Linked DNA regions of Drosophila melanogaster. The protein of the gene in region 1 interacts with the protein of each later gene in a pairwise test. Each region holds a gene or a part of one and is shown on either strand. Other genes may lie near its edges.

Evidence for each region.
Region 2: the proteins of CG10710 (region 1) and Hpd interact in a two-hybrid assay, tested with the Drosophila melanogaster proteins (one large-scale study listed by BioGRID).

The regions. Positions count from the first base shown.
Region 1 is NT_037436.4:13,517,682-13,521,609, reverse strand, and holds the start of CG10710 (uncharacterized protein), read left to right. Parts: upstream 1-2,004; 5' UTR 2,005-2,238; intron 2,239-2,934; 5' UTR 2,935-2,951; coding exon 2,952-3,928.
Region 2 is NT_037436.4:20,437,973-20,441,900, reverse strand, and holds Hpd (4-hydroxyphenylpyruvate dioxygenase), read left to right. Parts: upstream 1-2,028; 5' UTR 2,029-2,126; coding exon 2,127-2,129; exon of another isoform or gene 2,130-2,346; coding exon 2,347-2,373; intron 2,374-2,440; coding exon 2,441-2,824; intron 2,825-2,882; coding exon 2,883-3,536; exon of another isoform or gene 3,537-3,600; coding exon 3,601-3,675; 3' UTR 3,676-3,735; downstream 3,736-3,928. Other genes in the region: CtIP (CTBP-interacting protein), read right to left, coding at 3,776-3,928.

The DNA.
Region 1 (3,928 bases):
AACTTGAGGCAAGGCCAGACAAAAGACTTGGTCTATAGAATTCGCAAATGACATGGTTGTTCACTTGCTTCAAGCCACGTTAACAAAGCGCGCGTGGGCGATTGAAGTGGCAGTTATGGCCATAAATACAAATATGTTCGTTCGCGCAAGCAGATATTGACTGTCAGTGTCGCTCGATAAACATGCTAGCAGATAGCAGTGGGAAAAACACCAGCAGCAGCTGCTGCAGACTCGCAACTGCCGAATAGATGTGCAATACTCAAGAGCTCCACTCCGCTCTGCATCCGTAGGTTGGACTCCGCCGCCGCTGGCCGATCTGATGGTGATGTAAGCTCCGGTTCTGGGTTGCCAATTACCGCCGACTGCCGTCTAACCGCCGTCTAACCAACTGTAGAATGTAAAGCTTCTGCAGGTCGCGAAAAACTCGCCCACCCACTGCCAGCGGTACAGCGTCATCATCATCGACTGCACAGTGATCTCTGCGAAGTTCGATCTTGCACGCGATGCGAAACGGTCGAGAAAAGATTCTTTCCAGCTAAAAGCGGGTAGGTATTATTATTATTATGATTGAGTGATCTGTTCAATAAGGGGTCTAATCGTCTTGGGACTGCCAAATGAGTAACTTGAAGAACGCTGCCCCTTAAGGCGTCTATTCGCATTTGGATAGTGACTTGTGCATTGTGCTTTGCATTCTGATGATCCGAGTTTCGTCGGTTTTCTTCCCTTATTTTGCGCAGTGGAGAAAGTAATTAGTGATCGGACCATGACCGAATATCACTGAGTTACTAGCATTCAGTTTGCAAATCATGACATAAACAATTTATTTTAAATAAACCAAACGCAAACCACCCACCCACAGTGCCGTCATACTTATCTGTATGTAATAATCCCATTTAATAATTAATATAAAAAACCATACCGTGTCATTTCACATCAATCATGTTTAGAACTTGAATGTGAGTGTGATGAGACAATTGTCTGTACTTTATTATAAATTACGTTTGTTTTCAATACTTTTTGAAGGCTTAATATTAAACATATATTCCAGTTTTTGGTGTTAAAAAAAGATTTTACAATTTTTTTTGCTTTGCTTTTCCATTAAATTAATTTAATTTTATCAGGGTGATTTTCTTTTTTATTTTAATTACTCTCACGAAATGCCAATCTCAGCATTATTTTATTTCTTACTCTAATTTCTCTCTGTGCACCCACTCCAGTTAGAAACGGAGTTGACCTACTTTGCCATGTGCGCTGCCCAAAATAGAGGATCCGCCTCGATCCGTTGTCTATTTCGGGAGGTGTTTTTCATTTCACTTATTTTCCTTTCACTACCTTACCCGAAAAATCATAATCCGAAAGAGGCGCAGGCGATTCTTAGTTGCCCTAACCCGAAGTAGCCAGGTGCTATAAATAAAATGCGATCGCGCATATACGCGTAGCTGCTAGGAAAGAGAGCTATAAAAAACAAGGGGTTGCTGATCGAACTGGGGATACCCTCGTTAGTCCACTACCTCTGCTCGGCTGCGGGAGAAGCTGAAACGAAAGCAATTTGTTTTCACCCTGATCCGTTGATACAATAAACAAGTTGGCGCACAGGCAGCCCATGAATGAAAAACAGCGAAAAATAAAATTCGTTTTTTTTTTGGGCAGAATTTCTTGCTTCATTTTGGCTGCCGCATTCTGCGTAGCGTTGTGGACCTGGCCGAGTGGTGAGGGGTCTTCTATATGGCCGGCAACAAGTTGGATTTTTCTAAAAATGAACACACACGAAATAGCTTCGTCTTTGGCGTTAAATACGGACCACGACAACCATCGGTGTCGAGCAGCGACAACGCATCTCCGCATCTTCGAAGAGCGGCGGAATTTGATTTGATTTTCACTTGCCCGACCGTCCGCGCTATTTTCCTATTTCCCTCTATTGTGTGTGGGGCGTGCTCTCCGCGGCGGTCCATCTAAGGAGCATATTCCGAAGAAGCGATGCTTTCCGCGACTCGGCTTTCCCGCAACTAGTTGCGTTTTGGATGTCAACACGATGTGCACGCGCACAGCGTCGATTCCCGTCGACCAACTGCCACTGGCAGCGTGAAGTGAACTGTGGACCGTGGCGATTTGAAGGTGATCTCAATCACCCGGCATTACTAGGACAGCTTGAGCCAAGACTGAACCGGCGAGGGAACCGGAACAGAAGATATTCATTTTTCCAGGGCACCTTAAACGTACAAACGATAGAATAGCAAGGTAAATATGATAGTTCTCGATTAGTAATCGTTATTCTATGTATGTGGATACAGCAAATACCCTTCGCCATCCATTCAGGCCGGGCCTTTAGACCTTTTATGGGCATGCTTTTCGCCCAGGGAATCGAATTTCATGCACAAAAACAACATTTCGGTTTCGGGGCAAAAATCGTTGTGCGTTTGTGTGTGTTTCGCCTGAGAGAGCGCCACTTGCCAGTTCCTCTTGGACATTTAAATAGAATTCCCGTGCTGGCCACCGATCGAGAGAGAAACAGAGATTGAGCACCCTCCTCCTCCTCCTGCGTCTCCGTGAATGTGTTCCTCTGCCGGCGAGCATCAAAATAACAACACAACGTGTTTTTCGTGTCTCTCACATCGCGTATACGCAACGTATACCACCATTTCATATTTACTTTTAACTTACTACGGTTAAAATTACAGCTTAGTTTAGATGTGTTTTCCATAGTATTTTCCGGTAAGCGTTTGGAACATTACACTATTTCCTTTTATTACCGTCTATGCCAGTCAATGGTTCGTATACGCAATGTGTTGTCTAGTTTGAATTTCGAAACTGTATGAAAACAAGTCTTTGTAATAAGTGATGTAAATATGAAAAGTTTTATATTAATTTAAAAGCATATAAATTGGAAGATTATATAAATAATAATAAAACTATCTTTCTCTTACTTTTTTTTAGCCGAAATCAAGATCAGCATGCAAGAACTTACTAGGATCTGCGATCTTAACGGAAACGCAGACAAGGGAGAGTTGGGTCCGGCTACCAACAATCTGGACCAGCTCCTACCCAGCATAAAGCTGGAGCACGATCCCGACTTGGAGTGCTGGCTGCCCACGCCCGAGCACCCACAACTCCGTCTGGATCTGAACAGCACCCGTCTGCTGCTGCAGGGCTCCGACGACCCATTGATCTCGCATGGCGCCACCAACGATGCCCACGACGAAGACCATCCCTTCAAGACGCTACTGGCCCGCAAAAGTGCCGGCCACGAAACCCCACACAATGGCACCTGCAGTCCACTGACCAAGCAGCAGCTGAAGGCCAATCTGCTGATGGGCAGCCGGAAGGCGAACCGACAGCCAGCGCAGGAGCAGCCACACACTGCTCTACCACAAAAGACAGTTAGGCCAGTGCACAGCCAGGGTCAACAGCGATCACGTAAGCGAGGCGATGCGGGAGCCATGAAGCTTCGCTTTCACCACCAAGCTCTGCCCGCCGAGTATGCCGCCCATTACGAGGCCACGCAGGGTCGCCAGCAACCAAGACCAGTGCTACCACCGCCAGCTCCTCCGCCGAGTCAGGCTCACGAGAATGTACGCAGTTGGCTGCGGAAGATTGCCGAGATCCAGCGCAATGCCGAACGCCAGCAACAAAAGCAGTCTGCCGCTCCTCGAGTTGGAGCACCAACTTCGCGATCTTCACCCATCGCAGCGACGTCCGTGGTACCAACAAAAAATTCCGAGGTAACAACTGCCTCCAAGCGGAACTCCCTAAAATACGCAGACCTGCCGTACATGGGTGAGATTACGCTGGACAACTACAAGCCACGTCGTGGTCGGAAGCCCAAGAAGGCGGATATTTGTCACCTGATCTACAAGAACTACGGCACCATTGTCCCGGCATCTGTGCCCGCGATGCCGGTCAGTGCTGCTCCGCCGCCGTCTACCTCCAC
Region 2 (3,928 bases), 6.9 Mb from region 1:
GCAGGACTCACCGCTCCAGCCGCAGAAAAGAGAGAGGTAAAAGGAATCTTAATATCCTTATAGAGCAACAGGCTACCCACATCAAACCCGAAGCCAACCCGAGCTCAGCCAGGTACCGTTCCCATTTCGCCAAGGACAAAAGTTTGCTCAGCTAATGGCAAATCTGAGCGGTTGGGATTTTTATTGGGATAGGTCCGAGGGAGTGCGTCGGGATTCTTTGACTAATGGAACCCAAGGAGCGCCAGGTGTAAAGTAAACAAATAGAAAACCTCGCAGTTTATGAGGGCGATAATGGAATCAATGTTGTGAAAGGGCTTGGGAGGATTTGAAATTAGAAAGTTGCCCCAATTGTGTATTTTCAGATGCATTACTTTGCATGAATGTGAATAGAATGTTCTTTATTAATACGCCTAGGAATTTAATGGGTTTGTTATAGAAGAACCTTTTCAGTCATATGGTTTAATAGCTACAATACCATCTGGAGCAATTTGGCGACAAGGGCCACTTCCAACTCCTACCACTTTTGCCAGATTGTCGCCTATGCAGCGCCCTAATAAGCCAATCATAATAAATGTCAAGCATTGATTTGGCTTCTTGCCAATGACCAATCGACCATCGCCCACTCTTTCCCAACCTATTCCATCCCATCCCCACCTCACCACTTCCATCGGACTGTCAGTTCATCATTAGCAGCTGGGGGAGACTTTGTCTAGGGCTAATCATTAATGCTTAGCTGCCTGAATTGCTCATACGCCATGTGTGCAGGGAACATAGCATGTGGCTGAGCGGCAAAAACTATTAATTTATGGGCTTGTCGCATGTTGCCAAACACCTGACACGAATCGTCAGTCAAAATGATTAAGAGAACTGCCCTATCCCAAAAAAAAGCACAGGGGCAATATCTCGATCAAAAGATCTTTAAAGCAAGCACAAGATAAACTTTTTTTTATTACTATGATAGAAATAAACGCCGTTTAACAATTATGATCTTATAATCTCAACATATTGGCTGCTTGTTGAATTACATTTAAATCTATATCTATATTATCTGTATCATTTATAGTGATGTTGTCTAACTTTAAACTAAAGAATAACGATCACTAAAACGCTCATTCATCTATAAGCAAGATATTCCTAAATACCTATAAAAATAATAGAACTTGCTTAAATAACTAATCCAGTTCCCAAAACCAGTCTTGCTATATTTAAATACAACTGAATTATGCGCTTTCAAATAAAGAAAATAACCATCAAGCTAATGATTTGAAATCCTTTTCCAATCCTCTTAGAGCTATTATCCCCGCAATTAAAAACCGATAAAGGCAATCATCAATTTAGATGATTTGTGACTAGCGTGTGCCGCTTTATTAGATCGTAACAACAAACAGATTTGTTAACCAGTTTTTGTACATTTGTTTTGAGAACCTTGCAAAGCGGTTCTAATGCAAAACAACTTCAATAACGCCCCACATTATGCACTGTGTAACAATGGCAATAACAATAACAATTCAGATAGCATTAACACTCAGTTGGCCCATTGTTTGCGTTTTTGGGGGCTCGAAACTGGAATCAAGTTTAGTACGACTTGGCAACCGATTTTCGAACTCACTAGACTTGACTTCATGAATATTTAGCTGAATTCTGACATGGGCCGAACTTTTGCATAACGAACACATAGTTATCTGTATCTTCATGTAACGAGCTTAAGGAAGTGAAATTTCGAACGCAGAACTTGCAAAGCGCCGCTCAGATACGAAGTAAACAGATTGGAGGCCCGACCCGCATTACAATATTGCAATTCATTCCGCTCGAGATTGCATTAATTAAGTAATCCACCTGTTCTAGTAAACAAATCCATGCAGGTTTAGCTTAAATATGCGATCAATAACCAGCTAGCTAAGATATTCCGATAATATGGCATTCGAAATAAACAAAATACTAGTTTGGCTTATATTTAAATTAGTACAGGATTTTCACCTGATCCACCTACCTGAGCGCCCTATAAAAAGCCTCCGACTGGCTGAGCTCAGGCCATAATCAATTTGAAGATCGTGTAAGATCGACGGAACGAAGAAATCTATATCGCGTGCGAGGAGAGGATTTGCATAAATTGAGTCTGAGTGATAATGGTAAATGAGACGATGGGACATGTGGTGGCTATGTGGTTATGTAACAGCCCTTTAGTGCGAATTAAATGGACTTTAAAGAGTTCTCAAACAGGATTTATAACAAATACTGTCTAACAAAAGCGGATAAACCAATGATAATTATACAGACTTTCTAAGGATCCATTTCAAGGTGATCTAATTCTAATGACTTCTATTATTTCTTTTTAACTACCAACAGACCAGCTATACTGACAAAGGAACCAAAGTAAGTTCGAAAGCGTATGCCAATATTGGAGCGTATAATGCCAACCTACTTTCTTCACTACTTTCAGCCTGAAGCCGGCAAATTTCTAAGCTTTGATCACTTAACCTTCTACGTTGGCAACGCCAAGCAGGCGGCCAGCTACTATACCACTCGACTGGGCTTCGAACCACTTGGCTATCAGGGATTAGAGACCGGGGAGCGACGCTTCGCCAAGCATGCCGTCCGCCAGAACAAGATCGTCTTTGTGTTCGTCTCCGCCTACACGCCGGATGACGAGGAGCATGGACTCCACCTGATGCGCCACGGCGACGGTGTCAAGGATGTAGCCTTCGAAGTGGAGGATTTGAATGCCATTTTCACACTGGCCGTGTCCCGTGGGGCCGAAGTGGTCCGCGACATCTGGGAGGAGAGCGATGATCAGGGATTCGTGAGATTCGCTACCATCAAGACGGTAAGTCCGTGGATTTCATTCTGGAATATTTAAGGATTAATCCTTAACTTGAATGCAGTACGGCGACACTACCCACACTTTCGTGGAGCGCAATGGGTACGCTGGAGATTTCCTGCCTGGATTCCAGCGGTCGCCCAAAGATGTCCTTCTAAACGGATTGCCCTCCACCAAGCTGAACTTCATTGATCACGTGGTGGGCAACCAGCCGGATCTGCAGATGGAGAGCGTGGCCTCCTGGTACGAGAGAATCCTGCAGTTCCACCGCTTCTGGTCCGTGGATGACTCGCAGATTCACACGGAATACTCCGCCCTGCGGTCCATCGTGATGGCAAACTACGAGGAGACGGTGAAGATGCCGATCAATGAGCCAGCCAATGGGAAAAAGAAGTCACAGATCCAGGAGTACGTGGAGTACTACGGCGGCGGTGGTGTCCAGCACATTGCTCTTAATACGGATGACATTATCGAGGCGGTGAGCAACCTAAAGGCTCGAGGAACCGAGTTCCTGACCATCCCATCCTCGTACTACGAGATCCTTCAGGAGCAGCTCTCGCACAGCCGCACCAAGATCAAGGAGGACATGGAGGTCTTGAAGAAGTTGAACATTTTGATTGACTTCGACGAGAACGGATATCTGCTGCAGATCTTCACAAAGAACTGCCAGGATAGACCGACCCTCTTCCTGGAAGTTATCCAACGCTACAATCACAATGTAAGATTTATTGCTTAACCTACTGTTGCTAAGAACAAGTAAATCATGATCATTACTATTTCAGGGATTTGGCGCTGGCAACTTTAAGTCCTTGTTCACGGCCATTGAAATTGAACAAGCCAAGCGAGGAAACTTGTGAATCAAATGTGATCAAATTGAGAACTAACAAAATCAATAATAAATGAAATGGTCTAAACTGAAAAACTATTTGTAAATTGATTGCCTAAATGTCATTTGTTTTATCTCTGGTCCCAAAACCGAGTGTCTATCAACACTTCGTTGCGTGGATCGCCTTCTGCGAAGGAAACCATGTGTGGATTCCAGAATCCCGGCGGAGTTGAACTGCGAGCGTCTTCATGCCGGCACTTTGCCAAATAATCTTTGATCTTCTC